Linked DNA regions of Alligator mississippiensis. The protein of the gene in region 3 purifies or fractionates together with the protein of the main gene of each other region. This does not show direct contact. Links are inferred from orthologs where the notes say so. Each region holds a gene or a part of one and is shown on either strand. Other genes may lie near its edges. The genes, in order: C5H1orf35, SCAF1, SRPK2 and DDX46.

Region 1 (7,646 bases), on a different chromosome or scaffold from region 3:
ACTGTAAGGGGGTGGTCCCTCCTGGACCTGGGTCTGCCCCTGGCTCCCTGCGGTGTGACACAGGGCAGTTCAGGGCACTTGGGGCTGCGGGAAGTGTCTGCCGTGGCTCCCCTCGCCTGCTGCAGTAATGCCCCGGGGGCTTGGCACAGGCAGGCAGGAACCCCATGACTTAGGGCTTCCCGAATGAGGCCGGCAAAAAGCCATCACGGTCCTACGGCCTTGTGTGCAGGAGCACCCCTGAGCCTGTCCTACAGATGTGATGTGGCAGGTTTGGGGCAAGGTCTCTGCCAGCTGCGGAGGCGTTTGCCTCTCGCATCCTGGGGCTGGCGCCGTGCAAACCTGAACGGCTGGAAGATGACCGCGTGCCAGACACGGGACATGTGCAACTGTGGTCTCGCACTTCAGAGGGGTTTGGCCAGGGATGAACATGACCCGGGATCATCTCGCGCCCCACAGCTGTGATGAGATGCTGATCATGGGCTCAGACCCACAGCAGTTTTCTCCTGACGGAGGACAGGAGGCTTCAGGCAGCTGCCTGCATTTCCCTGCTATCCAGAGCTTTGTACCCATCCTTGGCCTATGAGAGGAGTTGGGAGCTACTGGTTGGTTGCCACTGAGAAGTGTTGCCACACAACGGCCACTAGAAATAGCGCCTGCTAGTAGCCACGTGCCAGTGCCCTGGTTCTGCATTGCTCTGAGGGGCTGTTGCTGTTACGTGGAGGGTCCTCTGAGCACGCAGTACTGTCCAGGGTATGTTTCCAGGGGCAATGTTGCTGCTAAGAGGTGCTGCTCACATCAGGTGTCACTGCCAGTATGCTGGATGCTTGCTTGCACTGTCCTGTCTGCCCCTCTGCACCCTGGGTCTCTGTTTTAGTTGATTTTTACCCCATTGCTAGCTGAAAAATCAGGGAAGGCAGAGCACAAATTGGCCTGCCCTGAGATGAACGCTCCTGCTTCTGCCATTCTTCAGGGAGAGAGGTGAGTCTGACCACTCAGAGCAATCCCTTTCTCCAGCTTGTCATCTTGCAGTGCTTTCTAGAAGGCTAAAGGAAATGTTAACTCAGAGACGCACCGGGGGTGGGTGGGTTTTGTTTCGTCCTTTTTTAAGTTTTAAGTGATCCAAGTGAAGAATTAAGGAAATATCGCTTGGCTTAAGCCATCTCCTTTTGGTCTCTTTGGTCATCAGGTTATCGTCAACAAGGAGAGCGCGTCCCAAGAGGTAGTGTAGAAATCCCATCACTGCCCTGAGGAACTTCATGGAGTAGAGTCGAAGAGAGATCTGACTGGGTTTTGCAGGCACGTGCCTCATCCATTTGCGCCCCTTCTTTTCTGCAGTCATTGCCAGGACCAGCATGGCAGCAGTAAGCAGGAGCCTGAGGTAAGCTTTGCACTCGCATCTGGCAGGTTGGCTGATTTGAGGACTCATCTTGCATGATCTCTGAACAGAGATGCTGGCCCCCAGCTGCTTGCAGAAGGCATTTGGCACTTCAGAAGATCAAGCCACAAATTGTGCTTGTGTTTATTGTTAGGACAGGGTCCGTAGGAGCATTCACTTGAGTTGCACATTGAAACCAAGTCTCTTGTATTAGGAGATAACCTGATTGTCAAGGTGGTTAAGGAAAAAATCCCCCTCAGGACCAGGTTTGTGGTTCAAGTGCCATTCCTTGGGACTTCAGGTTTTCTCCCTCTCTAGCATACGACAGACTATTCTTACGTGGTGCTTGAGGGCAGGCCCATGAGCTCTTTCTCCTGAAGGAGTGTAGGGAAGATCATCAACCCTGCCCTGTTTGAATTCCTTTAATAGCTTGTTACGGCGAGATCTGATCCAGCGGCCGCTCCCCACGATCTGCAGTCTGCACGCAACCCCCAGCCAGCACAACTCCAACAGGACTGCCATTGCTAGCTTACGGAGACAGACCTACGGCAGGGTCTACCCAGTTCTCCTGATCAGGCCTGATGGATCGACCGTTCACATTCGCTATAAGGAGCCGAGGTGGATTCTGACGGTAAGGCTGAGCCAGAGCTCTTTCTTCTGTAGAGCTGTTGGAGAAAGAAAGTTGCCCAAACAGCAACTAGTTGGATAGGTGGAAGCTTTCGCTAATGCAGGGGTGGGCAATTATTTGGGTCTGTGGGCCACATAAAGAGTTTTGATGAGCTGTCGCAGGTTGGGTCATCAGACCCACCCCCTCCGCCCCTGCACAACAACTTACCAAAACTCCCTATGTGGGATGGGGCTGTGGGCAGGGAGTGAGATGGGCGATCTGCTGGGGGGGCATGTACAGGGTGGGGGAAGCTGCATGGGTGCTAGGTCCTGGGAGCTGGAAGGGGGTGAGCAGGGGATGTATGCAGCAGAGCTTGCCCGGGCGGTGCAGTCCATAGCTACTACTCTCCGACTCTGCATGGGGCTGAGCCTACACAGGCAGCCTGTGCTGTGCTGTGCTCCCACCTGCACCCACCATCCTGGCCCTGGCCAGCAGGCACAGCTTAGTAGCAGGACTTCTTCTAGTGTGGCAGCTCCCTTCACCTCCAGTGGCAACACCTCTCCCTGCTGTACTGTTCCCAGCAGGGGAGAAGCTGCAACCAGGCAGCTCCTGCCCCAGCATGCGGGGCTTTGGCTCCCAGCTGCCTTCCACCAGGTCCACTGCAGCGAGAGCAGGAGGAGCCGCTGCTGGAGGTGATGGCTTCCAGGCATCAGGAGCAGTCCTCCTGGAAGCTGTGTGCACTGCCTGGGGTTGGCGGGTGCAGGCAGAAGTGCATTGCTGGCTGCCCTGCACCAGGCTTGGCTCCATGTGGAGTACCACAGGGGCAGCCACAGGCTGGATCCAATCAATTGGGGGTCACCCCTCACAGGCTGGATCCAATCAGCTGGTGGGCCAGATCTGGCTCACGAGCTGTATTTTGCCCACGCCTGCACTAATGCCTCCTTAAATCCCTTGGGTAACAGATGAATGCAGAGTGACTTGTGCATCCTTCTCAAACCAACAAGCCCGCTTCGGGCAGTGAGATCCAACTTGCAGCGTTCTAGAAAACTGCGTGGCCATTGATTTTTTTGGAGCAAAATCTCTTGATCACATCTTGCCTTTCTCCTTTCGGACACGACAGAGTCCTTGGAGCTCTGTTCTAGATCGACCTGCTTCTCTTTGTTCTGTTGTTGATTAATTTTTTTTTCTATCCCCCCTCCCCCTTTCCTTCTCAGATGCCTGTAGACCTCAACACTCTTCCTGAGGCTGAAAGAAGAGCCCGGTTAAGGAAACGTGATCGCAACAAGCTCCAAGTCACGCAGGAGAGACTGCTTGAGGATGACTTTAATATGGATCGTTACAAGCAATTCTGGAAGAAAAAATGAGGGCTTGTTCGGAGGATCTGCGAGGAGGTCTGAGGATTTGGGACTGTGCCGAAGGAGACTAACACAATCTTCTAGGGTGGTGGTTTTTACATGAGTAAAGATCCTTTACCCCGTAACTGCTTGTGCTCCTATTGTGTGTGTGTGTGTGTGTGCGTGTGTGTTTGAAAGGTACCACCCTGGAGACTGAAGGTCTCTGTTTATCTGCTGATCGGCTGGATGGGCAATGACAAAAAACCACAATACGTTAAGGAATGACGGGAAAGTTCATTCTCCCTGAAGCATTCAGTCTTTGGTTTTTCTGCTGAGCTAACCAAAAAAGGTGCCAGCTGGTGCCCCTGTACTGGTGGCTTTGTGGGTTGAGGAATCAATTAACTAGGACCTGGGCTGAAGCATCCCAACTGCCCTCAGAGTCTGTAAAATCGTACTAGCCCTGTTTTTGAGACTGACCTTGCTGCCTATGGATCATTTAAAAAGGTGAAAACTCTCTTAGTCTGCCACTCCCAGGATCAACCATGGCTGAGCGATAACCTTATCTTGTACTTAGGAGGTACTGGAAGCCATAGGGGTGGTTTGAAATGGGTGTTTGGGATGCACTGCTCTGTATGAGGGCAGGATGTTCCAGGGCTGCTTGGAGCCTTTCATCTCGGGAGATTTCAAAGCCACAGCGAAACGGGGAAATGGTTTTCCCTACTGCTAAATATAGCAGCCTCTAGGGAAAACGTGATGCCAGCGGGTGAGCAGGAGCAGGGCTAGGAGCTGCAGCTGCAAGTTCCCACTAGCAGGCGGGTGAGCCAGGACGGGCTTCTATGTGTGGCAGTGCAAGAGATCCTGGGATACTGGAGGACTTCAACTTGAGCCACCCCTTAACGGGACAGGAGCTGGGTTGTGCGGATCAGAAAGCATCCTGCTGGGAGTGGCGTAACTTTAAGCCGCATAAGGAGGCTCCAGGGTGTTACCGTGTGGACAACCCAGGGCTTAAGAGCTCCAGGAGCCGCCCACGTTTCCCAGGCAACAAGCCCTTACTTGGTGCACGAGCGCAGCTTCTAGGTCACAGAGGAGACGAGCACGCTGCGCCTGCTCCCCGCCGCCAGGGAAAGGGTTAAATCCCCCGAGACAATGGCACGTCCGGGCGGCCGCATTCTCCGAAGGGCGGGGGGGGGCGCGCTCTGTGCCCAGCCAATGGCAGGCGGGCGCCGCGCTTCTTTCCGGGTTGCTCCATTCTATCCCCCCCGCAGGCGGAGCGCCGTGGTATGCTCCGAACCAGCCGGAAGCCGCTTGCAACATTGGTGCAGGCGTTCGGAGCACGTGGGGGCGGGGCGGTCCGGGGGCTGCGGCTGCGGGCAGCGCCTTGCGGGTAGGCAGGGGAGTGGGGCTGGGCTGGGCGGGGGGAGCTGTCTCTATCGCGCGTGTGTTTGCTCTGATTCCCCCCCCGGGCCCGGCAGGAAAGCCCCCAGCAGCTGATCACCCTCCTGGGTTGTTCCCCCTTCCAGCAGGGATGCAGGGCAATGATCCTGCAGGGGGTGGGAGGGAAGTGGAGCTTGGCCCTTGTCTCTCTGTAGTGCCCTGATCTGCTGGGGAGCTCTGGGGCTGGGGGGAGCAGCGTGCTGGTGTGTGCACGGTGCTGCTGTGTAAAAACGCGCGAGGGGGATCCAAGTTGGCACTTCGGGGCATGAGCCCGTTGCCCCAGGGCGCAGGGAGAGGTTGCCTTTCTCATGTGCACCCACAAAAAGCCCCGCAGGGCACTGGGGGGTGGGGTAGCTTGCCCCTCCCGAAGCTGGAGCCGGGTAGTGGAAGGATGCGGTGTTCGGAGGACCACGAGTTGGGTGTGCTGCGTGACCTCTGTGTCCTGCGACACGCGGCGTCTCGTGTCGTGGCGGTGGAAGGCCTGGGATGTCTCACTTGAGCACTTCTGCAGGGCTGGGGTGAGGCTGGCTGGCCTCAGAGGGCTGGGTTCAGCTCAGGGGGAGACTTTCCTGCCAGAGTGAGCCCGGGGCCAGGCCCCTTGTTGCAGAAAGCTCTCCCTAGAAATCTTTGCTCGCAGCGGCCAACTTCAGCCACTTCGGCGTATGGAGGGAGGGGAGCGGGCAGGGGAAGAACACGCTCATTTACTCCTCCTGGTACCTGACCCAGGCACGGACCAGTCGCTGAAATGCTCTGGTGTAGGAGCAGGCAGCCCCCGTGCAAGGTGCAGGGAGTGTGGCTTGTTATCTGGGGTGGCTTTTTTTTCCTAGGGAAACTAGCCTTTTGCTCCTCACAGAGGATGCTGAGGCTGGGCTGGGGCTTGTAATCCTCCTGCTTGTCTTCTAGATGCAGTGCCTTGGGTTGAGCATCTGGGCACCTGGCGGTGATCTCTGATTCGCCCATCGCTGCTGGCCGTTCCCGCCATGTTCGGCTCATCCCGCGGAGGTGTGAGGGGGGGACAGGACCAGTTCAACTGGGAGGATGTGAAGACGGATAAGCAGCGGGAGAACTATCTGGGTAAGGGGAGATCCCATGATTATTTACAGCCCTTGGGGGAATCCAGCGCTCTGTCACAGCCTGACCAGCAGCCCTGGCGGCTGGTGAGTATCCGCAAGACCCCCAAGTCTCGGCCACCTTGGGACCGCTGTTCTGGCTGCATTTGCAGGCTTCGCTGCCTTGCTGGGGTGTTTCTTCGTGGTGTTCACGTTGGCTGAAAAGGGTTCTGCTCTTTGCCTCACCTTGCAAGCACTTGGTGCTTTGAACAGGCCACTGCAGGTCTTTGAGGCTGGTGTGGGTCCGCTGCGATCGCCCAGTCTGCCCTACAAAACACAGGCCTGGGAACTCTACTCCAGGCCTTCCACGCTGAGCCTGGCCATCTGTGGTGGGCTTAAAGGGAAGAGCTGCTTTAGCAAGACTGTTTGGAGAATGTCCCATTTCCCTTAGGAAGCAAAGAGGTGTCTGAGCATCGGTGAGCAAAGCGAATCTGGCTTAGGCTGTCAATCACGCTGCTAAAACACTTCGGGGGCTGCAGCAGTACAAAGTTGCCATACAAATACTGCACAGATGGGCTCTCACATGTTGCCTGTTCATAAAATGCCACTCTTAGAAGCTTAGTGGCTTGTCCTGTTGCCAACACAACCTTTTTCTGCCATCTGTGAGGGCGCTCGTGTGTCACGTGGTTGCCACGCTCCACCCTAGATTTGGCTGCTTTTCAGTGCAGCGGCATATATAGAGTTACAAAGCCCTTTGTGGATCCTTAGTGGCGAACAATGCTATATAAACGTAAGTTATTCAGGTATTGTGTTGGGTTTCTATTACAGGGGAGGTTCCTGAGCCATCCCAGTGACCTGTTACTGGAAACTTCGAGGTTGGGATATATTGCTGAATAGATTTGCAGCTTCAGACAGGTGCCTCTGCAGGATGCCCTGGGCCTGGCTAAGGGCAGGAGCTGGGTGGTTCTTGTAGAGCTCTTTGCTCATGTGCCAGAGCGCTTCCCATGGGGGTCACAGCATCTACCCTCTTTGTGGAGAAGCTGAGGCGGAGAGATGAAGTGACTTAGCCAGGGTTATGTGGCAGGTCAGTGGTCTGAACCCAGGTCTCTGATCCCAGTGGATTGGTCCCCACGTGACCCGAGTCATGGATCTGACTCTGTTCTGCTGCCTGGGCAGGGACGTCTTTACAGGCCGGATGTTCTGGTTCTGCTGACGGCCTCTCTCGTTTTCTGCGGCAGGGAATTCCCTCATGGCTCCGGTGGGAAGGTGGCAGAAGGGGAAGGACCTCACATGGTATGCGAAGGGGAAGAAGGAGGGCGTGCAGATGTCCCGGGAAGAAGAGTTGGCTGCTGTCCGGCTGGCCGAACAGGAGGCCATGATGGCAGCACTGTAAGTTCAGGGGGGATGTATTGCACTGGTGACTTCCACACACTCAGAGCTGCGTTCTCCACTACGCGTTTCTGGTTGTGAATTGGTTGTCGCAGCCTGGGAAGTCGCCTCGACTTTCCGCCCCACCCTCCTCCGTGGGTGTTTAGTCTGTAGGGAGGGAAGGTGTCAGCCCTCGTTTGCCTTCCTGCTACTCATTGCCACATCTACCAGGCTTCTGCCTCGGGCAGTTCTCCCTAGATAAAGTGGGTCCAGCTCCCAGGCCGTTTATTTGATACCCCTGAATGAACTGATTCTAGCCTTTCTTTTTCTAGCTTTGGCTTATGCAGCAAACCAAAAATGTGCCCAAAGCTGCTATGCAAGTAAAATCTAATTGAAGAGAGAGCAAATGGTTTTTGTCCTATGAGAAAGTAGGCAAATAAGCGAAATGTGTGAATAACCAATATGCGATGAAGCAGAAT
Region 2 (6,939 bases), on a different chromosome or scaffold from region 3:
GCCGCCCAGCACCACACAGCCACTGGGGTGGCCCCAGGTCAGACTCCCAGCTCAGCCCCTGCCCTCCTTCCCAAGCCCAGGGTGAAACCCAGGTGTCCTGGCAACCCACCAGACCCCACGGCCAGAGCTATGGATAAGACCCAGGTACTCTAGCTCCCAGTGACCCCTGCTCCAATCCATTGGATCCCCACTGCCCTCCAAGAGCTGTGATAGAACCCAGACATCCTGGCTCTCAGTCCCCTGCTCTGGACTGGTAGGAGCCAGCACACAGCCCCATAGCAGGGGCAAGGCAGGCCCACCCACCCAGCACTCACTGTCCAGCCGGGTGGGGATGCCATCAATGTTGCAGATCTTAGTGTATGAGTCCTCGATGGTAGGGTCATAGTCAGAGACAAAGTAGGACTGTGGGGGGCAGGGGGAAGGGAAGAGGCAACGGTGTTACTTCCACAGAGAACCCAGGAGACCAGCTCCCTGTTGCCTTCCCTTCCCTACCCTACCCCAGCCCAACCCAACCCACTACTAGATCATGCTGACATGCTTCCTTCCCCAAGCTAGGGAAAGAACCCAGGAGTCCAGGAGCCCAGCAGCCCAGCCCCACCTCCCCACCCCCTCCTTCCCTACCCCAACACATAGATCATGCTCCCTCCACAAGCTAGGGAAAGGACCCAGAAGCCCAGTCCCTCCACCTTCCCTACCTCAACACTACTAGATCGCACTCCCCACCCCAAGCTATAAGGAAAGAACCCAGGCGTCCTTCTCCCTGGCAGGCCCCTCCCTTGGAGCCTCTTGTGAACAGGATGTTCGGTCAAAGTGTATGTAGATACAGCAACAGTTCACCACCCCCTACACTCACCTCCCCCCAGCCCTCCCACGCCTGCCCCCCCTCCCCACTGCGGGTGGCATGGGGTGGGGCTGCCTCTGCCCAGGTCCCAAATTCCAGCCTCCCCCTGCCCTTGGGTGGGGGAAATTTCTCCAGCTGGCGTGGAAGGAGTGGGTGTGGGCCCCCCTCAATCTGGGACTGCCCCTCCAGAGAACCCCACACTGGGCTCCTCTTTCTTTCAACCCAAGCCAGAGCTCCCTCCCCCAAATCAGCTGAGCCCCCCCACAACCTATTGCCCCTCCCCAGGCCAGGCCCCCTTGACTCCACCCCCCAACACAGACCTGTACCCCCTCTCCCTCTTCATTAGGCCAGGACCCCCATTTCCACCCTTCCTTCTATGCCCCACAACCAGCCACCCTATCTCCCCCTCCTCCAAATCCTCTTAGCCCCCCCCACCCATAAGCCTACCCCCACTCTCTTACCCTCTCCAAACCCCTCTCCCTGCCCCCCCCCCCCAACTCCAGCCTACAGCACAAAACTTTCCCCAGGGTGGAAACTTTGGGCACCTTGGGAGATGGAGGGGGCAGACAGATCCAGGGTGAACCCCAGCTTCTCTCCCCCACCCCTGCCTTCACCCCCCTCTGTGCCCACCTACCTGGATGAACTGGATGGTGAGTGCGCTCTTGCCCACACCACCCCCTCCCACCACCACCAGCTTGTACTTCTCCTGAGGCATCGCCGGGTCCTTGGGATTCATGGCTTGCGGGGGGGGGGGGGGGGGGAACTCCTGGGTGTGGGGGGAGGCAGTGGCTTGGCTTGGCTTGGGGACCCCCCCACCTACCCCAGCACAGGCCCTACTGTGCCATGGAGGTGTTGCCCTTAGAATATGGCTCCCTCCCCCCACACACACACCACCACCACCACCACCCTGCTCCCCCCTCTCTCTCCAGCCACCCCACCCCAACCCAAGCCCGGCCCGGGACCCCGCCTTATATGCTAATCTATGCTAATGAAACCGTGCAGAAGCTGGAGCCTGGAGCGATTCACAAAAATCCACTTCCCTATATGGCGCTTGGGGCGAGATGGGGGTGGGGGCGGCACCCGCGGGGTCCCGTTGGACCCCGATCGCTTCTCATACGGGGGGAACCCCCTGCACCCCAAAAAGGGGATAGATGCAGCGAGACTCCTAGGAGCCGGGACGCCTGGGTTCTCTACCAGCCCCGAGCTGGGGAGTGGGGTCTTGGAGCCGGGACGCCTGGGTTCTCTGCCAGCCCTGGGGTGGGGAGTGGGGTCTTGGGGGTTAGATCTGGTGGTGGGGGTTGGAGCCAAGATGCCTGGGTTCTCTTCCAAATCTTCCCGAGCAGAAGGACAGCGAGGGTTTCGAACCGGGACACCTGGGTCCGTCCGTCGGCTCCCCCCCACAATTCCGGGACGGGTGGCGGCAGATCTGCTGGGCTTGCGTGGGGAGCCGGGACTCCTGGGTTTAGCCCCATATCTGGTAGCGGAGTGGAGTCCAGTGGGTGGGAGCTGGTGCGGGCGGTGGATGTTTGGAGCCAGGACTCCTGCGTTCTCTCCCCGGCTCTGCGAGGCGACTGGGGTCCCGGACTCCTGGGTTCCCCCTGGGGTTTGGGGCTGCGGTGGGATGTCCATATCACTTCTGAATCCCCCCACCCCCCAATCCAGATCCCGTCTGCTGACGCTATGGTCGGGCGCTAGGACCCCGCGGCTGCCGCGCCGGCAGGGCGGGGAAGGGGGGGCGCTATGACCTCAGTGCATTCCTTTCATGTGTGGTGTAGAGGAAGTTGACTCACTACCCCTCCCCCCCTCGGCACCGCCCCCTCCAGCCTGGGGGGGAGGGGCTGCTTGCATGGGGGTGGGGGTAGCCAAACAGTGCCCTCCCTTAGCCCCCCCCCCCCCCCCCCGGGTGTGCTGGATCTAACCCTAAGTGGGGAACCGGACCCAGGAGTCCTGGCTTCTTATTCCCACCCAAGCCGCAGCTGGGGAGGGAACCCAGGTGTCCTGGCTTCTACCACCCCCCATCCTGTCCTAGGGGGCTCCCAAAGAAAGTAGGGCACAGCTGCCTGGAGTTCATGGGGGCATTTAGGAAATGGCTCAGGGTGCCCTGGAAGGAAGTTCTGAGTGAGGGGATAGGTGGGGGTTGGGGGATGAAGGGGGCTGAGACTGGGTGGGATTGAAGCTTGGGAGTGAGAGGGGAAGGTTGGGGGGGGGGAATCTGGGGAGCCGGTAGGGGCAGTTGGTTTTCAGGGGGTCAGCATTTAGGGGGAATGGGTCACCCTCCCTGGGAGTGGCATGTTCCAATGCTGGAAAGCAGGAGGAAATGCTGTGGGGTGCAGGGGCCCAGGGCTGTGCCATGGTGCTGGGGGCAAGATGTTGCTGCACCCCTGGCCTTGCTCTCCATCTCTCTGATTCCCTTCTGGACCTCTCCTCAGGTACTGATTCCCTTCCCTAGGCCAGAGGAAGGAAACACTTCCACCTACCCCAACCATGTGCTACGGGGCCAGGACTGACCCCTTCTCCCCTTTTCCTTGGCCCAATGCCCCCAACTGCTGTCTGTTTCCCTCTCTCTTCCAATCTGTTTTGCTGGGGGTGCCCGCCTGATCACAACCCATAGGAGCCCCTGGTGCCTGGGGGGTGGGGGCTGGAATGGAGGTGCGGGTGGATGGGGGCACAGCACTGCTCTGGCCCAGGCTCTGGCCTGCCTGACGCTTCTCGGGGCGGGGGTGTTGAGCGACTGCGGCACAGTACCCACGTGCCCCAACTCCAGGGGCAGAAGCTGCTATAGAGCCGGCTACACCACCAGCCAAAGGGATGGGGATTGAGGGGGGCGGGGGAATTGTGGGTGATGGAGGTGATGGTAACGACGCAACTGAGTGACTATAACGTCCTGGGGAGGGACCATGTAGGCGGGAAGGACTGGTGGTGTCAGAGCGTGGCATGACATAGCAGGGTGATATGGGCACGGAGCGGTGCTATGGAAAACATTGCCCTCAGAGTGAGGCTGACAGCCTGATAACCTCATTCAGGGAGGGTGACGCCACAGATCAACTATGATGACATTATCGCGGGGGGTCAAAACGGGCGGGTGCCGAAGAATTCCTTGTCACCCCTCCGCCACAGCCGCCAGAACTACATCTCCCGCAAGCCGCGTCCACCCGCAAGGCATTGTGGGATAGGAATGTGAAGGGGCTTACTTCTGTCTCCCGGCGCCGGCCCTCAACCTGTCCCCTGGTGCCTGGCGCGCGGCCGTGGTGCACGCTGGAATACGCAGTCCGGACGCCCCCGGTTCCCTCCTTGCAACGCGCGCCACCGCGCTTCCTTCTGGGAAGCCTAGTCCGCCGCCGCCGGGCCCCTGAGTCACTGCTGGTACCAGGCGGACTGCATCTCCCAGCATGCCTCGCGTCGCGCCCGGTCCTGCCCGCCCGCCCGCTGCGGGGCAGGCTGGGAGCTGTAGTCCGAGGCCCGGCCCGGCCCGGCCCGGCGCCAAGGGATGGGCGGGGAGCGACACTACCGCTCCCGTCGGCCCCCGCGGCGCCCCCGCCAAGCCCCGCCTCCGCCGCCGCGGCCGAGCCCGAGCCCGAGCCCGAGCAGGGCGATCGGGTAAGATGGCGGCGGGGGCGGCCGGGTTGGGACGGCGGCTTCCTTTGTATTAGGAGGGCAGGAGGGGCCCGTGCGGACGCCCCCGAGGGGGGGCCGCGCAGCAGGTAACGACGGGGGCGGAGCCAAGTGGGGGGAGGGGGCTGGAGAGGGGAGCGGGGGGGGGGAGAAGCTGGGGACCAGAAGGGGGAGGAGCCAAGGGGTGGGGGCGGGGCCAAGTGGGGGGAGGGTCCAGTTGGGGGGTGGGGGGCAGTGCGGCCATCATGGTGGGGAGGGGGCAGCTTGAGGAGCAGGGGAAAGCTGGGGAGTGAGGGGCAGTGAGGGGTGTTATGTGGAGGGGAGGGGTAAGTTGGGGGTAGAGGGAGTGGCATTGTGGAGTTGCTGGGGGAGGGGGTCACAGACACCTTGTGGGGGCTGGGGGAATATTGGGCAGTGAAGGGGGGCTGGGGAGGGCAATGAAAGACGGCGGGGGGGACAGGATCAGTGTGACTGAGGTGCAGTGTGGGGGGCTGCCTGGGGCAAGGGACAGCAGATCAGGCATGGGGGCTGGGCCGGGATGCAGAAAGGAGGATGCATGCAGAAAGAGGCTGATATCAGGCTCACTCTCCAAGACATGGGGTCCCCCTGACCCTACCAGGTTCACAGGACCCGGCTGGGCACAGAGGCCCTGGGAACTCCTGCATGGCCATCCTCTTGCCTGCTGAGAGTCTCACAGCTCTGGAGGGTGGGTATTGCCTCCTCTGGTGCCCCCCACCAGCTCTATCTCACTAGCCCCTGGCTGGTGGCCTAACAGCAAAAGATGTGGGACAGGAAGGGATTAATTGCTGCACTCTTTCAGGGGTTGGCTGGCCCTGGCTGGGCCTCAGGGGCAACAGTGGTTGGGGGCATTGGGGGGTGGCAGGGCTGAGCTGACAGGGGCCTGTGGGTTGGGAGTGAAGGACACTGGCAGGGGGCTGCAAGTTGGGAGAGGGTCACTCACAGGGAACTTGTCAGATGTAACCTGTGTATCTGAGGGACTGGTTGTCCCCGATAATCACTTTCAGCACTGGAAGACTGGGACAGCCAGGACACCTGGGTTCTCACCTGACTCTGGGAGCGGAGTGTAGGGGTGCTGCCAGGCTGTGGGGAAGGGGTCGTGCTAAGAGCCAGGACTCCTTGGTAGAGTGAACACAGTGGTTTGGTCACTGATGACCTTGTGTGTGCCAGTGCTGGCACTGACTCTTCTCCCTGTTCTGCAGGCTCCACTCCATACTGCCGCCATGGAAGAGGAAGAGAATTCCCCTCCCCCCACACGAGAGGACCCAACCGGGGGCAATGAGGAGCAGGGGCACCCTGCTAGTGCCCCCTCGGACAGGGAGCTAAGCCAGCCAGGCCCCCTCTGCCCTGGCCAGGTCATAATGGTAAGGTCCTTGTTGCCTGTTGGCTGCTGGGAGCTGAACTGGGGGGGAAGTCCTGACTGATCTAAGCATCCGTTGCTCCTTTACATTTCCTTGGGTCTGATCTCCTGGGTTTGCTCCTGAGCAGTGCTGTGGGGAAAGCCAAAGTCCCCTTTGAGGACCTGCCAGCACTAGTTTCATCTAAGTGCCTTCCTCTCTCTGCAGAAGGCCATACAGCAAGTGGTGAGCTCCAGCTTCCAGGGCAAATGGCAGGACCGGGCCAGTAAGAAAGGTATCTTCTGGGACCTCACTGCAGGGCTGGTAAAGGATAGGATCAAGAGGAGGGGGAGACTGGTTGTGCTACTGCCTTGGGTAGGAGGCGAGCAGAGCCCTTTAAATCCAGCCCTGCCTACACCCTCCCCCTCAACATTAGGCGGCCCTGAGGGGACATGGAGTAGCCCAGTGCCAAGGTGACACCAATCTTTCTTGCAGATCTTAAGAGGAAGAGGCTGAGCCGAAAGAAACGGTGCCGGAGCCCCCGAATGGAGGGGCCCAGCGCAACCAGGGGGGGTAGCATGGATCCCACGGTGAGTGGGCTTGCTTCCAGGCACTTGGTAGCCCTGCCCCCTTAGCCTGGGGGTTGCACTATGGGGATAAAGCATCCCATCTCACTTGGAGTCTGGGGTGGGGGGTAGCTGTAGGGCCATGAGGGGGTGATGGGAGAGGAGGGGGTTGCACAGAGGCTGGGTGTTGTGAGGGAAGTGCTGGGGGAATATTGAGGGGAGCAATGTAAGAAGTGTGGGGAGGGTGGGGGTGAATGTGGGGAGGAGGAAGGGGATAAGGATGGGGTGTGATGCGGGGGGAAGGGGAAGATGAGTTTTGAGACTACGTATCCCAGCATGCCCTGCTCCTTCCCAGTGGATCATATGAGTTTGGGTTATATGTCCTAGCATGCCCTGCTTTCCTGTGTAGGGATCTGTTCCCATCAGGACTAGCTGTCCCAGAATCCCCTGTTCTCTCTCACCAGAGTGAGCTATCCGTGGGGCCTTGATATGCCTTGGTCTGTCATTCAGAGGCCTGGGAGAGCCACGGGAGATCCGTGCCCAGTTCTTTCCATTCTGCATGTGT
Region 3 (7,642 bases):
TGTCATGGTGTTATCAAAAAAAAAAATCAAGCTAAGAATTGTCCCCTCTCATTTGTTTACAAAGCTATATAAACCAGCAAGTGTGTAGCCAGGAAATCCGGCCCCCCAAAAATAATTTCAAACGAACAATAAACAAACAGACTCTTTTTCAGTGTATGTGCACAAATATATCAAACTGTTAAGAAACATGGAATGGATATGGGAAATAAAGAGAAAGGAAGAAAGCATTGAGGCGAGGAAGAGAGTGGTACTTGAATGCTACAAAGAACTCTGCTATCTTTAGCAAATTCTCCTTTTCTGTATTATTTTTCCTTTTCACAACCCCTGTATTCTCTTTTCCTCCCCACTGCGTTCTTTGTTGTTAGTTCCATTCTGTGCAAGAGCAGCAGCATGTTGGTGAAATTGGCTAACATCCTGATTTTTGGGAACATGTGGTTCATAGAGCATAATATTGCCCACTGAGAAAAGCAGTACAGAGATAAACAGGAACATAAATTAGAACTGCAGGCCAAAGTCTTCAAGGATCCCTTTGCTCAAGAAGTGGTTTCTATTATCCTCAGAAAAGAAGCAGACATCACCATATTTACAAGACCACTGCTAGATTTGTTTTTTTTTTTCCTTAAAAATGCATCCCAATTTCCATAAGAGTAGCTGAAACCTCCTATGTAAGGAACATATTTCTAGGTCAAGTGAAAAGGAAACAACTAAGACTTTTTTGAGGTCAGGTCTAAACTGCACTGTAGAGCATAATAATAAACAGGTAAAATGTCAGCTCACAGCTTGTATGTTTCTCCTTTCCATTCCCATTTGCGTTCACAGCCACGCAAAATGAAAGAATAACTCTTGCCTTCTATTGTCCCTACTAATTGGGCAAGTCAAACCACCTGAGCCTAGAAACTTGGTCCCTACAGCAAATGAACTCCTTGATAATCCAGCAAAACCAGACACCTCTGTTGCAGATACTCTGTTCAAGGAAAGGCAGCCAGTGAAGGGGAAAGTAATCCTGTTATATCCCATTGTTGCAAATTTACTTTATCTATTTGTTACAAATACTTCATTCCAGTCTGTGCATCCTTTTGAGCGCAGTATTTAATTTAAAAACATTCTTTTAAGGTAACAAAATAGGATGGAAGGAAAAGGAAGCATATATACACTTGCACTGAAGTAGCAAAATAAGTTAATTAAAACATACATGTAATTATTTCTGTACACATTTGTGTTCAGGCTAGCCCTATAAGTAATTTTTAATACCATTTTACCTTGTCTGAAATTTAATCTAATATTTTTGGCCTCCTTTCTCTGTCATTTCCAAATGTAGGCCCTAATCCTAGCAAACACTTTATAACTACTTTATGTGAGCAGTCCCTTTGATACAGCTGAACTACTTCCATAAGTATCATTTTACACATGCTTAAGCATTTGCAAAACTAGGGCCCTCGTCATCATCTCAACATCCTTTGTGTTTAGATTGTACAGCTATTATATTTACCTACTAATTTAGATAAGTGCACATAAGAATCCTTTGTGCATGTGTAAAGACTTTCCCATTTATTTTATTATCTTTCTGTGTGAGCATATTACACAGATCTTTTGAGTAGCCTCTTCAGAAAATAGAAAGACAGAACAGGAAAAATGCAGTCCATTTCCTTGGAACAGGAATAAATTGATTGTATAATAAACACCCACCTAATCCTAAGAAATAATTCCTTCTCTGTGCAATACCAGATACTTCTCTCATGCTGCTTATATTGCTGACATTATACCCTTGAGGGAAATTCCTTCCTGACTCCAGATTTGGCAATCACTTTATCACTCTGTTCATATGAGTAAAGCCCTTTGTAGCTGCACATCTAAGACCCAATTGTCCCATACCCAACCCCACTGAAATAAATGGGAGTGCTCATGAACAGCTGAAAGTATGATTGGGCCCCCTGATCTATGACTGAAATATCCTACAATCACCCCTGAAAGGACTTCCCTGACCTTTCTAAGCCTGATTAGAGGGGCCAGGCCTCCTTTGCATATAATATGTATATCTGTTAGTCACCCAGCCGCTTTGTAAGCTTGAAACAATTGTGTTAAACTTTGGTAATTACAGTACTTTCTAACTGCAGTGTCCTCAAGCATTAAAAGCATGTGTGTTATTCTCTTCAGAATGATTAAATTTAAAGCAATAATAAATACATTAGTGGTTCTTTTTCTTTGCCTTTTGGTATTGGAGTCTTAGCAATTTGATGTTATTCACTGCAACCATGAGGTGTGCAGAAGTATATTGAAATAGACTTTTAAAATTAAACCTGAAATCCTAATTGAATGAATCCAGAGGCTTTAAGAAAAACAACAAAGACGACTTAAAATCAATATCCAGGAGTTAACAACATGGCATCAATCTACATCTAGAGGCTTCTCACTACTATTTAGTATTGTATAAACATTCACCAAGAAATGTGGGGAGAAACCTTGCTTTACTGACACTGAGGAGTGTCAGGGGGGAATGTTCGAATAAGTGTCCAAAAAGTGTGGAAACTTTTCAGAAGAAAGAAAAAGAGGGTCACAGGAGGGACTCCTTTAGATTTTACTAATATTGGCAAAATGTTAGTAAACACAGGTGACATTATTGAGGGCAGCTCGTCTGTTTGTTAGCAGGCACCTGGTTGTTGTCCATTACCAGAAGCTTTTTGAGCTATACTGCATGAGGTATTTCAGGAATGAGGCAGAACTCCAAAAGGGGACCCTAAACGGATATACAAGGAAGAGTACTGGAGCACCGAGAATTTAAAACTGGAAGTTTTAAATACTCTAAGTGCTCAGTGTTTGACTTCTTATAACAAACATGTGCCATTTTTAAGACTATATTATGCACCACATCCATAATCTCCCACCCTCATGCACTTGTAGTGTCTGAACATTGAGCCTTCTGGGTTGCAGCACCGTGTTCAAGCACTTGACCTACTGAACCAATGAACACTGGCTGACAACACCTTCCTATCATCTTGTGTGCCTAATGCTTCCTCAGCCTGACAAAGCGTATTTGTACCTGAAAGCTTGCAAAGAAGAATTTTGTCAACTATTTGAGTTGGTCTAATAAAAGATATTGGATTTACCCAAAGAACCTCACCTGCCCGAAGATGCCTAATGCACTGGTGCAGTAGATCACCTATACTCAAGCAGTAGAACTGACTGAAAAGCTTATTATGCTCCTGGAGAATGCTGAGTTTTGGGTTTTTCTCTTTCGCTGAATGTTTATATTCAGAAATGCCGCGGTGGTGCCTCATGGGAGTTGTGGGCTAAGAAGCCCGTGTGCCCTTTCTTCTCTACAGCAGCAGTTCTCAACCTTTTTTGTACCAGGACGAGGGTGGCCACGAGGTACCTCAAAAATAGATGTCCCCACTACCACAAACGTGGTGCGCCTCCCGAGGCTGGAGGGCACAGTGAGGTCCCGCAGGCAGCGGTGTTGGCGGTGGGGGTAGTGGCGAGTGGTGAGCTCCTGCAGGCAGTGGTAGCGGTGTCTGCAGTGGGGTCAGGCCAAGAAGGGAGCTCCCGTAGGTGGTCACCGTGGTGTTGGCAGCAGGGAGGGGGTGGTGTTGAGTGATGAAAAATAGAGAACGTAAAGGCACTTGGTTTTCCTATCAACGGAGGACCAGAAAACCAGACTCTCCTGTATAAAACTGGACAAATGGCCACCCTAACCAGGACCCATTTGTAAAGGTTGATGGCCAGTCCCAACCCAGTGCCCCTCAGTGTGTGGGCATGTGGGGTAGGGAGGGCAAGTGCACAGGGGTCCCAGGCAGCCCCTTGCAGGTGGGAACTGTGCCAGCCTGGGAGAGAAAACCCACGGGTCCCCCGCCTTTCTCATAGATTGAATAGACATTAGGGCTGGAAGGGACCTCGGAAGATCATGGAGTCCAGCCCCCCCCCCCCGGGACAGGAAGTCAGCTGGGGCCATAGGATCCCATTAAGATAAATGTCCAAATGTCTCTTGAAGGCATTCAAAGTAGGTGCTTGAACCACCCCTGGCGGCAGGCTAGTCCAGGCGTTGGGGGCTCGGACAGGAAGGAAATTCTTCCTTGTGTCGGGCCTGAAATGGTCTTGCAGGAGTTTATAACCCTTCGACCTTGTCACCCCTTCCTTGGGGTGAACAGATCCAGATCCCGGCGAGCACCCCGATAAACTTTTCCTCCTTTAAAAGAGAATCCACTTTTACAGCGTGTGGATCCGTTTCCAAAAACTTTGCTTGCCCCCCTTTCCTAGATGTTGGGCCCAGGGGTTGAGAAAGGCTGCTTCAGGGTGGGCTCCCCGATCCGAGCAGAAACAGCGGGGCACCACGTGCGCAGCGCTCGTCCTGCCCGCCCGGGCCGGGGGACGCCCGGGGAAGGCGCCGGCTGGAGGCTCCCGGGGGCTCGGCCTCCCGCCCGGCGCGGCACTCCCACGCGCGAGGTCCCCAGCGATGCGAGCAGGACCCGCGCCCCCACCTCCACCCCCGCCGCGCTCCCAGGCCGGGGGCAGGAGGCGCCAGCGCAGCCCCCGCCCCGCCCCGGTGCCGGCTGCCGCGCCTGCGCAGCGCTCGCGGGGCTGCTGTCCGTGCCCGGCGCTCCCACCGCCTGCTCCTCCGCCTCCAGCCTCGGCTCCGGCTCCGCTCGTGCGCCGGGCCTGGCCCAGCGGCGCAGAGCGATGAGCTCCCGCAAAGGTACCGTGGGGCCGGTCGTGGGGCAGGGGCCGGGGCAGGGGCAGGGGCCGGGGCCGCTCCCCCTCCCCCCCCGCACTAACCCGCCCGTGTCTCCCCAGTGTTGGCGCTGCAGGCCCGGAGGCGGCGGCCCAAGCAGCCCGTGGCGGCGGCGCGGAGGGACAAGCAGCCGGCGCAGCACAAGAAGTGAGTGCGGGGCCGCGGGGTGTCCCGCCGCGCTCGGGCGCCGGGGGTCGCTCCGGCCTGGGAAAGTTTCCTTGAGGAGCGGGGCCCGCGGCCCGGGCTCCTCCCACAGCGCCCTCAGGGCTCGGGGCCCCGCGCACCTCGGCAGGGGAAGGGGAAGGGGCTTGGGGGAGACAAGTGCCCAGCGCCCCTCAGGCGAGTGAGTGCTGGCCCCTTGCCCCGCGGAGTTGGCACTTCCAGAGCCGGCGCCCAGCTTTTGGTTGCCTCAGGAAACGGTGGCAGCAAGGTGTCGGGTGCCTGGGCCACAGAAGACCCCCCCCCCTTTCTTTTTTTTTTTGGCCTGCTGGCTCCTCGGTTTCTTCTGCTTTCTCTCCTCCTCGTCTGTCTGACTGTCCCAAACGCTCAGATCTTTGCGCGGGAGTCTGAGATGTGTCGCTCTTCTGAATGATATAAGGAATGATCTGTGGCCAAAATTTAATTGACATTGGTATTCGATTGGATTAGAAAGAAAATCAGCCTTAACAAAACAAAACAAAACAAAGGTTTAGGTTCCCCTGCTTTGTTTTGAAGCCAGACACTGCTGTCTCATGCTGCTCTTGAGCGACAAAGAAAAACGTGAGAGGAACAGAACAAAATCATGAAAAGTCAGGGTTGTTTTTAGCTTTTAATCCTCCAAGGTTGGTATTCAGAGTAGACACCTGCTTGTTTGCTTCTGACTCTAATGTTATCATTTGAACTTTATTTCTGCTGGGGTACTATCCTTCAGTCACGGCAGGAAGGGTCAGCACAGCAACCAACATCCACTGCTCCCATTAACAGTCTGCTTCAAGGGAATTGCATGATTGCCTGGTAGAATTCTTTGCATTGTAACTTATTGGCAGACTGGTTGCATCGCTTATTAAGGTAGTCGCACAAACTGAACAAAGCAAGAACTTTTACCTCCACGTTTTTTTTTTTTGTTTAGTTTTCATCATCTCAATAGTTAATGTAAGGGTGTGAAGGGCGCTTAGTGCTTGCCAGATGTAGATCCTTTCAGTTGATAATGAGAGCTAGCAGAAAAGATCTCCTAAGATTTTGTGGTGTGGAGAAGTAGAATGTAAGTGATTGGTCTAGGGAGGAAGGAAGGGGAAGAAGTAAGAAGGTAAGCGATTGTTGTAAGGAGGGGTCCATGTTATGACTTCGATCATGATGAAGTCTGTGAAATCCTACAAAGGTTGGTGGTTGAGCCTCAGTTGCAGAGATGGCTAGAAAAGCATTATGTAGTGCTACTATTGGCAAGTTATGCCAGATATTTGGTTCTGAGAAAAATACATGGATTTACCATGTGATGTATACAAGTTGCTTTTTATCAGCCCTAGTCTGTTAGGCAAAGGATTAATCAAAGCTGTTAAGACAGTTGCACACAGAAGTTGTACCAGTTAAACTGCAGGTCTACCCTTTGAAAAGTAGTATGGGAAATGAACAGATCTCTGCACACAGGCTGTGTTCAGAGACATACTTGCTTTGTAGTAAACATGCTGGTTTGCTATTCTTTCCTTGGTATTCCAGAGCACAGCCCTGGAAAAGGTAGCTCACTTACTTTTGGCTCTTGTCTACATGCAGACTTGAACTTTAGAGTTAATGCAGAAGCCAGGAGAAAAACATATTTTTTTTTTTTTGTTTTTTTGCCTCCTCCCCCGTGCCTTTCCTCGTCCCCTCAATCAAATTTGCTTGCAGATGTGGTTTTTTGTTGTTTGCTGTTTGTTGTTTTTGTTTTTTACAGCATGTAACATATTGGAGCTCAACTGATTGAAGTGTTTGTGCAATACTACAATGCAAGGGAAGGCTGATCATGCTGTTATTTTCTTGCGGTGGTGAGGAATACAATTGCCAGGGAAAATAAAGTACCTATATTTCCCTCCTGTGCATGGGTGGAAATGATACAGCTTTTCTTGTGACAAAAAATATCCAGACAATTAATATATTCTTGGGCTTATCTATATTGTATAACTTGATTTTATGTATACACGTACCTAGAAAATGGTATGTTGCTGCCATTTGTCAGTATTGTCACTTTTGTTATCCTACAGTGAGCAAACCTGTCTGGGCCACCTAGTGTCATTTTTGTGTATTTACTCAGAATATGGTGTCAACATGAGACAGTGGGTCCTATGAGTAAAATTGATAAATAGTTGTCTTCTGAGTTGTGGTGCTTTGGATAAGCCTTCATCATTTTGTCTTCATTGCCAGCCTGAAAGACCATACAGTTCTGCAATGTATTAAGCTCAAACATTTTAAAAACTTGGATATCTAAAATTAGCTAATCAGGGTAACTTCATGCCCCTACTTTGAAAAATTAGGCTTCCCCATTAGGCTCCCCCATATCAGTCTAAAAACTGATCTAGCCTGTTGTTGATTTCCCTTCCTCTCCCCTTCCTTTTTCTTATTGGGTATGTGTAATGGTCTTCATACATACATAGATTATATTTTACAGAAAGTAATTATATTTCAGTTTTAATATATGTAATTTGTAGCTTCTGATATGTTTGAATATCTGAGACACCTCTTCATCTAATGTTTATATTTTTAATGTGTTGATGAATAAAGCCGATGCCAAAAGTTTTTGTGGAATCCATTCAATGTACAGTAAATCTTATACTGTAAAGAAATGAATGTGTCTGTTAAAGTACTGTATATGTTGGTTCCTCTGTTAACTGAGACTTGCAAAAATCTCATGCTGGGAAAGCATCTGGGATTGTAACCATTTACTTTGAAATAGAAAGAGCTTCTAGAACT
Region 4 (7,933 bases), on a different chromosome or scaffold from region 3:
ATAGGTATCACTCGCAGTATGAGACTTTGGCTCCCTTTTGTTTGAAGTGAAAGGCACTTAATACCCTAGCTTTTAATCTTGGAGGACCTGAATCCAAATGTTCTTAAAAGTCTTGGATGAAAATTAGTTTTGTGTCTGATTTTTGTGCTTACTTAATATTTAGCTATAGCCCAGTAGGAAGCATTTACTTGGGAAAGCTGGCTAGATTTTTCTTTGATTTGGTAGGATTTTGCCTTCCATTTACACTGTACTTCTGTGCAGTTGCTGTTTTTAGGCTCCATCCATAGGCACTGTTCATGTCATGTTTGACCAAACAGAATGTTTCCCTCTCAGTGAAATGGGTCCTTGACCTTTGCTGCCCTGAACTCAGTTTTAGAGAAGTTTGAAATGTGGCGATTTTTATTTATGCCTGTTACTTTCTGCTTCTCAACATGGCGGGATTATATCTCCTGCTTTATATTAATGGGATCGTATCACAAGTTAATTGTAAAGAAGCAACTGCTTGCTTGATGGTTTTGTCAGTCTGCTTTGTAAAGTCAGGCAGAATTAAGTACTTCACAGCCATAGTTGAAAGAGAATATTTACATGTTAAAAGGAATAGCCGAGTCAGTGTAGCAAGTAGGAATGAGTGAGAGTAGTAAATATGTAAGTAAAAACAGTGAACTTTCAAGTAATTATTCTTTAGTGGTCTGCACAAGTTACCAGACAGCGTACCAGGGTACTGGCCTCAGATCACCTGCACTAGGTTGTCTGCTAGCTAGAGCTTTTCTCTTAGTTTCTGTGTTTCTCAAAATCAGTTATTCAACCTTTATATTTCAGAGGTGAGTCTCTGAATTGAAAGCAAATGGTAGTTACCTGTATACTCTATGTTCCAATGGGACTTTAAACCTCAGGCTGGCCTGCCTGTGTCTGGGCTAGTCGAAAGTAAAGCTTCCGTAGGGAGTCTTGAGAGGAGATGGCTGAATTCCTTTTCTTCCGTTAAAAATTCTCTAATTTTTAATGTGGAGTGCCCTGACTTTGTTTGTTTACTCAGGTTATTCTGTTACTAGTATCCATTTCATTATTTTGTTAAAATTCATTGATGATTATGACTGTCTTAACATTCATAAATGATTTACCTTTTCATATAATGCGTAGTTGTGGTACTAAACTGTTCTAATTCAGATCACTTTGAAATGTCACATAGGTGAACACTGCAGTCATAAAAATGTGTTTTAAATGCAATGGGATATCAATTCAAAGGTATAGGTCCCTTGACATAACTAAAACCATGGTCCATAACAAAATGAATAGCCCATTCTATGGCACAAAAACAGCCTACACAAAGCATCCCTACCTGGCCTTCCACAAAAGTGTGTGCATGCATATATGTCCAGAAGTTATCTATATATTTTAAAGCTATACTGGCAAAAATACAGTTCTTTACAGAAGAAACCAGTGTGGATGTGAGATGGTTTGCAACATGTCTATCCTGGCCTAACTGCACTGGTGAACCTTTTGTAGACAGCTGATTAAGAGACCATCAGAACATGAATTCACACACATTTGTCAGCGATTCACACGATGATGTTAACTTCAAATGTTGACTTGTCACTCATAGTAGGAGGGAGCCCCCAGAGAAACTCATTGGATTTAAAATGTATTTAGAAGTTATGACTCTTCATACACTCAGTAATCACTACTCTTTTGTTTTGTTCTTTTTTTTTCAGTGCGAGAAGAAAGTGAAAACTACGGTATTAACTGCTGCTCTTTTATTGTCGGGGATCCCAGCAGAAGTGATTAGTCGCTCCATGGACACCTATAGCAAAATGGGAGATGTCTTCACAGATCTTTGTGTCTACTTCTTTACTTTTATTTTCTGCCATGAACTGCTGGTGTTTTTTGGTTCTGATGCACCGTGAGGGCTTGTAGACCTCAAAGTAGCAGTTACACACATTTTTTGCATTCTGTATTCCTGTAACATCTGTGGATATGCAAACTGGTTTAGACCTTTAATTTAATTCTTGTCTGTTGGAATGCTTGACAGGCATCTTAAAGTCGCTCATTTGTGAATGGATAAACAGGGTTTCAGGGTGGGAGTGGTCTTAGTACAGTGTATTCAGCTATTGTTTCTGCACATGGCAAATGTGAAGAATAGAGTGCAAGTGTCAGTGATTGATTTCCTTTACTTGTTTAACTAGAAGACATCCTTCTTCCTCCACCCCTGACATCACTTGAATTGCTGCTCCCTTTTGGCTCTGCAGTGTGAGAGCACAAATGTGCTTTCACGAAGCCCATATGTGTACACTTTGTGACTGGATACACGTAAGGACTGCTCTTCTGGTGTTGCTTCCATGTTTAAAAGAAATCCATGACTAATATAAAATGAATCCTTACGTTCCAGTGTTCAGACTCTGAATGCTGAATAAAAAAGCCTGTGGCTTTTGCAGTAGGGTTGGGCGACACATGCCTCTTCATTGTCCTGTGGCTTGGAGCCCTCATCCTCTCTTGGTGCCATAAATTATTTGTTGTGCCGGTGACGGACTTCAAGAGAGGATTCTAGAGTGAAATAAATCCTGTTGGCGTACAAATGCCATTAATTGTGAAGCAAGAAGGCACGTGTGCTGCTGGTCTCAAATGTTTCCATAAGCTCTTTAATTCTAGCCCTAATTTTACCCCGGCTTTCATGTACACCCTACTTGCGCTCTTCTTCTTTAGACAGTTCATTTTCTACAGTGAAAGCTGCACTCAGGCACCCCATTCTCTCAAGCAGTTACTTCAATAGGCATCAAATATAGCAGTTTTATTCAACTTTTAGTTAACAAGGGGATTTTTTTCTTCCTGGATCTTTGCAAGGGTGTTTAAAACAATTTTAACTGACATCTATATTCTGTTTCTTTCCCTCTGTTTATAGAAAAAGACATTTGCATGTAAACAGGGCCTTAATTGCTTAGGAGTTCTGCTCCTGCTGCTTAATAGTGCTGCTGCTCAATAGCCTAAATAGAACCCTTGGTTAGCATTCAGCAGAGCTATTTATATGTTAACTGACTTGCTAATTCCTCTCTTCTACATTTTGGTTTGAAGTCCCTCCAAATAAGCCACAATAGGCATGCTTATTCAAATCCTAAGTACTGAAACAGGCAAGGGAACAAGACTTCTTATCACCATGTTATTTTGAGTTGATTTCCATAAGAAGATCAATGTGTCCTGTGGAAGGAGGGGGTGGAAACTGACACCTTTTCTGGAGCAGATGTAGAAGCAGTGAGGGATGGGGGGGCTCCCACAGCAGATGCCTTCTGCTCTCTAGGGGAGAGAGGGTAGCACTGTCCCCAGTCCAGCAGAAATTTGGCCTTAGTGGGATGGTGTAAACTGGAACAGACTTTGAGGAGGGATCTCCATCAGCCAACCTTTCCCATTACCCATATTTGGATATTTGCTGCTACTGCATCTGAACCTGGTGTTACCCTTAACCTGTTGTCTTCTGTGTATTATTTATTTGAAGCATCCAGGTGAAGTAGACTGACACCAGATTTTCAATTGGGAGGGGATGCCTGGTTATGTTGCTAATGGTTTTGCCTCCTGTTTAATCTGGTTTTGTGTTTCTGAAGTAAACAAGACTCTGCTTTTCTGCTTAATTGTTTTCCCCTTTTAAAATATTCTGCAATATGACGTTGTTGCGCTCCTGAACCCACGATCAGACCTCTGCTCTATGTCTGAAGCAAGAAACTTGTGTTCTAAATTATGGAAGATTGCTTTGTACTGCGGTTACTTTTTGCGTCAACATCTCAGTGTAGATGTTTAAGGATAGATTGGGGGGGGGAATGACAACCTGATTTAGGTCCACTGGCAGGAATGGTTGGGACACAATTTCAGCAGATGCTGACAGCTGAGATTTTAGCTACGGTTGAAATGTGAAGATTATTCTCAGAAATGAGACACAACTTTCAGGATTATTTATCCGAATTAGCAAGTGTTGCAGGTAGCACTAGGGAGGGTGCAGAAAAAGCACTGGTTATTAATATTACATCACCTTTTAAAGGGCCCCCCCTTCTTTACTAAGCTTAAAAAAGCATTTTGATTTATACTTGTGTTTATTTTGGCGTTCTGCCCTGCTCTTTTTGCATTCCTTTAACTGTGAAATGGCTGAGCAGATCCTTTCCCAAGCGGCCTGAAATACAATAGGCCGACAAGGGTCTTTGGGTGAATATAAAAGATGTATTCACCCAAGGGACCTTGTCTGCCGATGTCCGGAGACCGACGCGACTCCAGCCGCCACCCCTGAAATATAAGGTGGAGCTTTTGAGCGGAAAGGATACGTTGTCGGGACAGGAGCAGGTAGCACCAGGGGTTGCCTGTGTCCTCGGCTCTCAAGACTTGAACGAAGCCCTCGGACTTCACGCGCGATCCAGAAACGGATCTCCTTCGTCCCACCTTCGATTTGCACCCCCGCCGCCCCTCCCCCTTTGCTCGCGCACATAAATGTATCGGACGTTTATTTCTACAGCGGTTGTTTTCTATTAAATTTATTAAAACGGCATTTGTTACTCTCAGTCAAGGTTTGATTTGCTCGGGGGTGGGGGTGGGGGAGGGATGCGCTCGCTCCTTTGTTTCACGTCTGTTTTGAGGGGGCTCCTGGGGGACCGTCCGCCCGCAGACCCCGGCCCCGCCAGCAGCCCGCTGCGAAGCGGGGGCGGGTCGCGTGTCCCGGGGGGGCGGGGCGGGGCGGGGCCGGGCCCGCACGCACAGCTGGCTGCAGGTGGGGGGGAGAAGCCCGCTGTCCCTGCGCTGCCGGCCTCCGGCCGCCAGGGGGCGCGCGCGGCGCAGGCCTGTCCGGGCCCCGCGCGCCGCCCCTCTGCCCGCCGCGCGGAATGGCGGCCGCCTAGAGCCCGCGCACCCGATCCCGGGCCAACGCCGCCGCCGCCGCCATGGGCCGCGAGTCCAGGTGAGGCGGCTCCTCCCGCCGGGGCCTTGCCGCCCGCTCCCCCCCCTCTCCGGGCTCAGCCCCCGCGCCGCTGCGAGACCCACTTCTCCGGCCGGGGCAGGCCGCTGTCGGCCCACAGGGGCCGGGCCCGGATCTGAGGGGAAACGACCTGCCCGGGGCGGGGGGGGGGTCATTCTCGGAAATGTTTTAAGGACACGGCGGTTGGGCACGGTCCCGCGCGGAGCCGAGGTGTGACCTCGTGAGGGCCCCGCCGCCGCCGTCCCTGCCACTGAGCCAGGAGGTGACATCCCTGAGCGGGGCCGGGTCCTCCTCCTCCTCCTCGGGCTGGCTGCGGGTCCGCCGCTTCTTTCCCCTCTTTTAAACGACACTTCCTGAGCAGCCATGGATCTTCGTGTGGGTGCTGCCCTGCAAGGCTGGCGCACCTCGCTGCTCTCGCTCCATCCGGCCTCTTGAAATACCGCTTTGCAGCCGTGAGCCGCGACAAGCCTGCGTGTGGGTGCGAGGCAGGCGCGCGGGTGGGGAAGCCGGGCTTTCCAAGGTCGCACACCTTGGAGGGGAATTCATTTTGTATACCCCTGGCGACCGGAGCGCTAATCCTTCTTTCCTGGCAAAAATGTAAGCAGCTACATGCTGTCTAAATCCATTTGATTTCAGTGCTTTACTGTTTGCTTTGAACTCCTGCCTAGTGTTACAGGCGATCCTCGGACACGACTGGTTCCTGAAAACCGTGTCTTAAGTCGAAATGTTGTGACTCGGAACTGATTTTTTTCCGATAGGAAACAATGTTATAAATGGAGGATTGGTTCCTGAACCAAGGATACCTTATTTTCATCAAAAATAACCCAAAATTTTGTATTCTGTCAATTATAGATGAGTAATATAGCTACATCAATGTAAATAGCAATCATATTGATTTGGAAGGACTTCTTTGAGGTGACTTTGCTGGACTGTCTGAAGGGCTCTTGGCTGGAGTCTCCTCCGGGGTCTTGGTGCAGGGTTTTGCTTTCTTAAAGAAAGTGTCCAAGGAAGTTTGGACAGATGTTCTCCAGGGAGATAGGTGACACCGCGAACTTGTTTGCTGGCTTGGCGTCGCGTCGAATCAAGCGTTGTAAGTTGAAACTGGGGTCAGAAAGTTGAAATAGGGTGTCAATTTATAAAGGTTGTAAGTGCGAAACGTTGTGACTCGAAACGTTGTAAGTTGAGGACTGACTGTACAGCGCTGTTTGCAGGTTAGCTATGTCTTCGCTTCAGTTGGTGCTCCAGTGCCTGAGATAACTTTAAGTAGCTAGCTAAGGGAGTGGTATTGGTCGAATACTCACCGCTGAATGGGGTGAGTATTCACCGCTTGCATGGTGAGACCGCTGCAGGTACACAAGTTAGGTTAGCTGCGTCTCTGCTACCCACAGTTGAAACAGTACAGACACCCCCGTGGGTATCTGCATTTCTGCAGTGGGTGCAGTGATTCCTACCTCTGCTCTTGTGTAAGATTATAAAAGTGCAAGCATTTTCAAGTCCTCGGATAAGAGATATTTGCCACGGACTGCTCTGCTATGCTCGTGCTTCTCTGTTAAGGTTTACACCTTGAAGCAGGCTCTGGTCTGAGTGATTGCTGTTTTATTACAGGGGTCCCAACCCAGATCTGGGCTGTGTTTTATGGAGAGACGGTCCGTATTTTGGAGCGTTTAGAATCTAAGCGGGCAAAACCTTGCAGGCGGAGACGGGTGAATTGACTCGCTCTAGGTCACAGCCTGTCAGTAACTGAGAAAAATACAGTCCAAGTCTGACTCCAGCCCTATGCTCTGCCCATCAAACCACAGATGCTCTTGCTAGCATATGATAGTTTTCATAGAGTTTGATAGCAGCTCTGTGGAACTAAGACTTAATGTATTTGGATAGAGGTATTTATATAAGCTGAGCAGGACTGCCCAAACCTTACAGATCATAGGGAAGTGGGGCTGGAAGGGACCTCCAGAGGTCATCTAGGCCAATCCCCTGCCTGAGGCAGGATCATCCCTATCCAAACTATCCTATACAAATCCATTGTCTAACGTCTTTACAAAACTACACAGTCAACTCTGACACAAGAGGCATGATTATGTGCAATTTTAATCTTTTATATACCAAAATGGATGGACCACCAGTAAATGCTTCTTGGAACTCTGCTGCAATTAGGAGCTGTGCTCTGTCAATGCCATCTCGTAAGAACTCTTTCAAGGGAATCCAGTCATTTCCATCACTTCAGAGGAGTACATGTGTTCATTAGTTCAGTTTTGCAGGGGCAGTAAAGCCTTTTTAAAAATTGGTTCTTTCCCTAGAGAGGACCCGGTTCTAAATGCAGCAGATGCCTCTAACTTGTTCTCCTGTGAATCTTGACTTGATTTTGTGCACTTACCACAACATAGGCACTATCGGAAGCGCTCTGCTTCACGGGGACGTTCTGGCAGCCGCTCCAGGAGTCGTTCTCCATCCGACAAAAGAGCAAAACGCGGAGAAGACAGACGTTCTAGAAGCAGAGATCGAGAACGTCGGCGTGAGAGGTCACGCAGCAGGGACAAGAGGAGATCAAGGTCACGGGAGAGGAAGCGCCCAAGGTACACGTTGCAGTACGTCTTAAGAAAGTGAATCAAAGTATCTGCCCTTCTGTGTGGGATGTTCTACCTGTGATGTTCCACTTGCTGTGGTTACTTGTCATGGGTGCCTCTGGCAGGTGTGAAATTAGGTAAAGCGTTGGCTAGTACGTGTCACACAGGTTAAGTTTATCACCCAGTGGAAAAGTATACTGTAGCTGGATTTTGTAACTCTGTTTCTGGCCTTCATGGTTCTTAGCTTCCTTTGGCAGGGCACTGACGAAAATGATTTTTCCTTCCCCCCACTTCTTAACAGGCCAACTTATGTCATGTTTTCCCCAACACAAGTTTGTTTTTATATTTAAAAAAAAAATGACAGCCATGTGTATGGAATGCTAAATAAAACACTTTTTTCTCCTGCGGCAGACGGTCCAGAAGCAGAGAG

The links.
Region 1: the proteins of SRPK2 (region 3) and C5H1orf35 purify together in Homo sapiens (affinity purification with mass spectrometry; 3 studies listed by BioGRID and IntAct, with this or other methods). This does not show direct contact. The link is inferred for Alligator mississippiensis from reciprocal best matches to the Homo sapiens genes SRPK2 and C1orf35.
Region 2: the proteins of SRPK2 (region 3) and SCAF1 purify together in Homo sapiens (affinity purification with mass spectrometry; 3 studies listed by BioGRID and IntAct, with this or other methods). This does not show direct contact. The link is inferred for Alligator mississippiensis from reciprocal best matches to the Homo sapiens genes SRPK2 and SCAF1.
Region 4: the proteins of SRPK2 (region 3) and DDX46 purify together in Homo sapiens (affinity purification with mass spectrometry; 4 studies listed by BioGRID and IntAct, with this or other methods). This does not show direct contact. The link is inferred for Alligator mississippiensis from reciprocal best matches to the Homo sapiens genes SRPK2 and DDX46.

Annotation. Positions count from the first base shown.
Region 1 is NC_081828.1:214,164,739-214,172,384, forward strand, and holds the start of C5H1orf35 (multiple myeloma tumor-associated protein 2), read left to right. Parts: upstream 1-4,591; 5' UTR 4,592-4,700; intron 4,701-5,653; 5' UTR 5,654-5,730; coding exon 5,731-5,824; intron 5,825-7,037; coding exon 7,038-7,188; intron 7,189-7,646. Other genes in the region: MRPL55 (large ribosomal subunit protein mL55), read left to right, coding at 1,353-1,378, 1,805-2,006, 3,197-3,346.
Region 2 is NC_081828.1:40,051,133-40,058,071, reverse strand, and holds the start of SCAF1 (splicing factor, arginine/serine-rich 19), read left to right. Parts: upstream 1-3,898; 5' UTR 3,899-4,438; intron 4,439-5,673; 5' UTR 5,674-5,694; coding exon 5,695-5,835; intron 5,836-6,036; coding exon 6,037-6,103; intron 6,104-6,303; coding exon 6,304-6,398; intron 6,399-6,939. Other genes in the region: RRAS (ras-related protein R-Ras), read right to left, coding at 315-402, 2,207-2,470.
Region 3 is NC_081827.1:26,456,746-26,464,387, reverse strand, and holds the start of SRPK2 (SRSF protein kinase 2), read left to right. Parts: upstream 1-4,558; 5' UTR 4,559-4,671; coding exon 4,672-4,687; intron 4,688-4,783; exon of another isoform or gene 4,784-4,785; coding exon 4,786-4,870; intron 4,871-7,642. UniProt on the Homo sapiens protein: Serine/arginine-rich protein-specific kinase which specifically phosphorylates its substrates at serine residues located in regions rich in arginine/serine dipeptides, known as RS domains and is involved in the phosphorylation of SR splicing factors and the regulation of splicing.
Region 4 is NC_081832.1:70,515,171-70,523,103, forward strand, and holds the start of DDX46 (probable ATP-dependent RNA helicase DDX46), read left to right. Parts: upstream 1-4,810; 5' UTR 4,811-4,904; coding exon 4,905-4,921; intron 4,922-7,323; coding exon 7,324-7,512; intron 7,513-7,914; coding exon 7,915-7,933. Other genes in the region: guided entry of tail-anchored proteins factor CAMLG, read left to right, coding at 1,710-1,901. UniProt on the Homo sapiens protein: Component of the 17S U2 SnRNP complex of the spliceosome, a large ribonucleoprotein complex that removes introns from transcribed pre-mRNAs.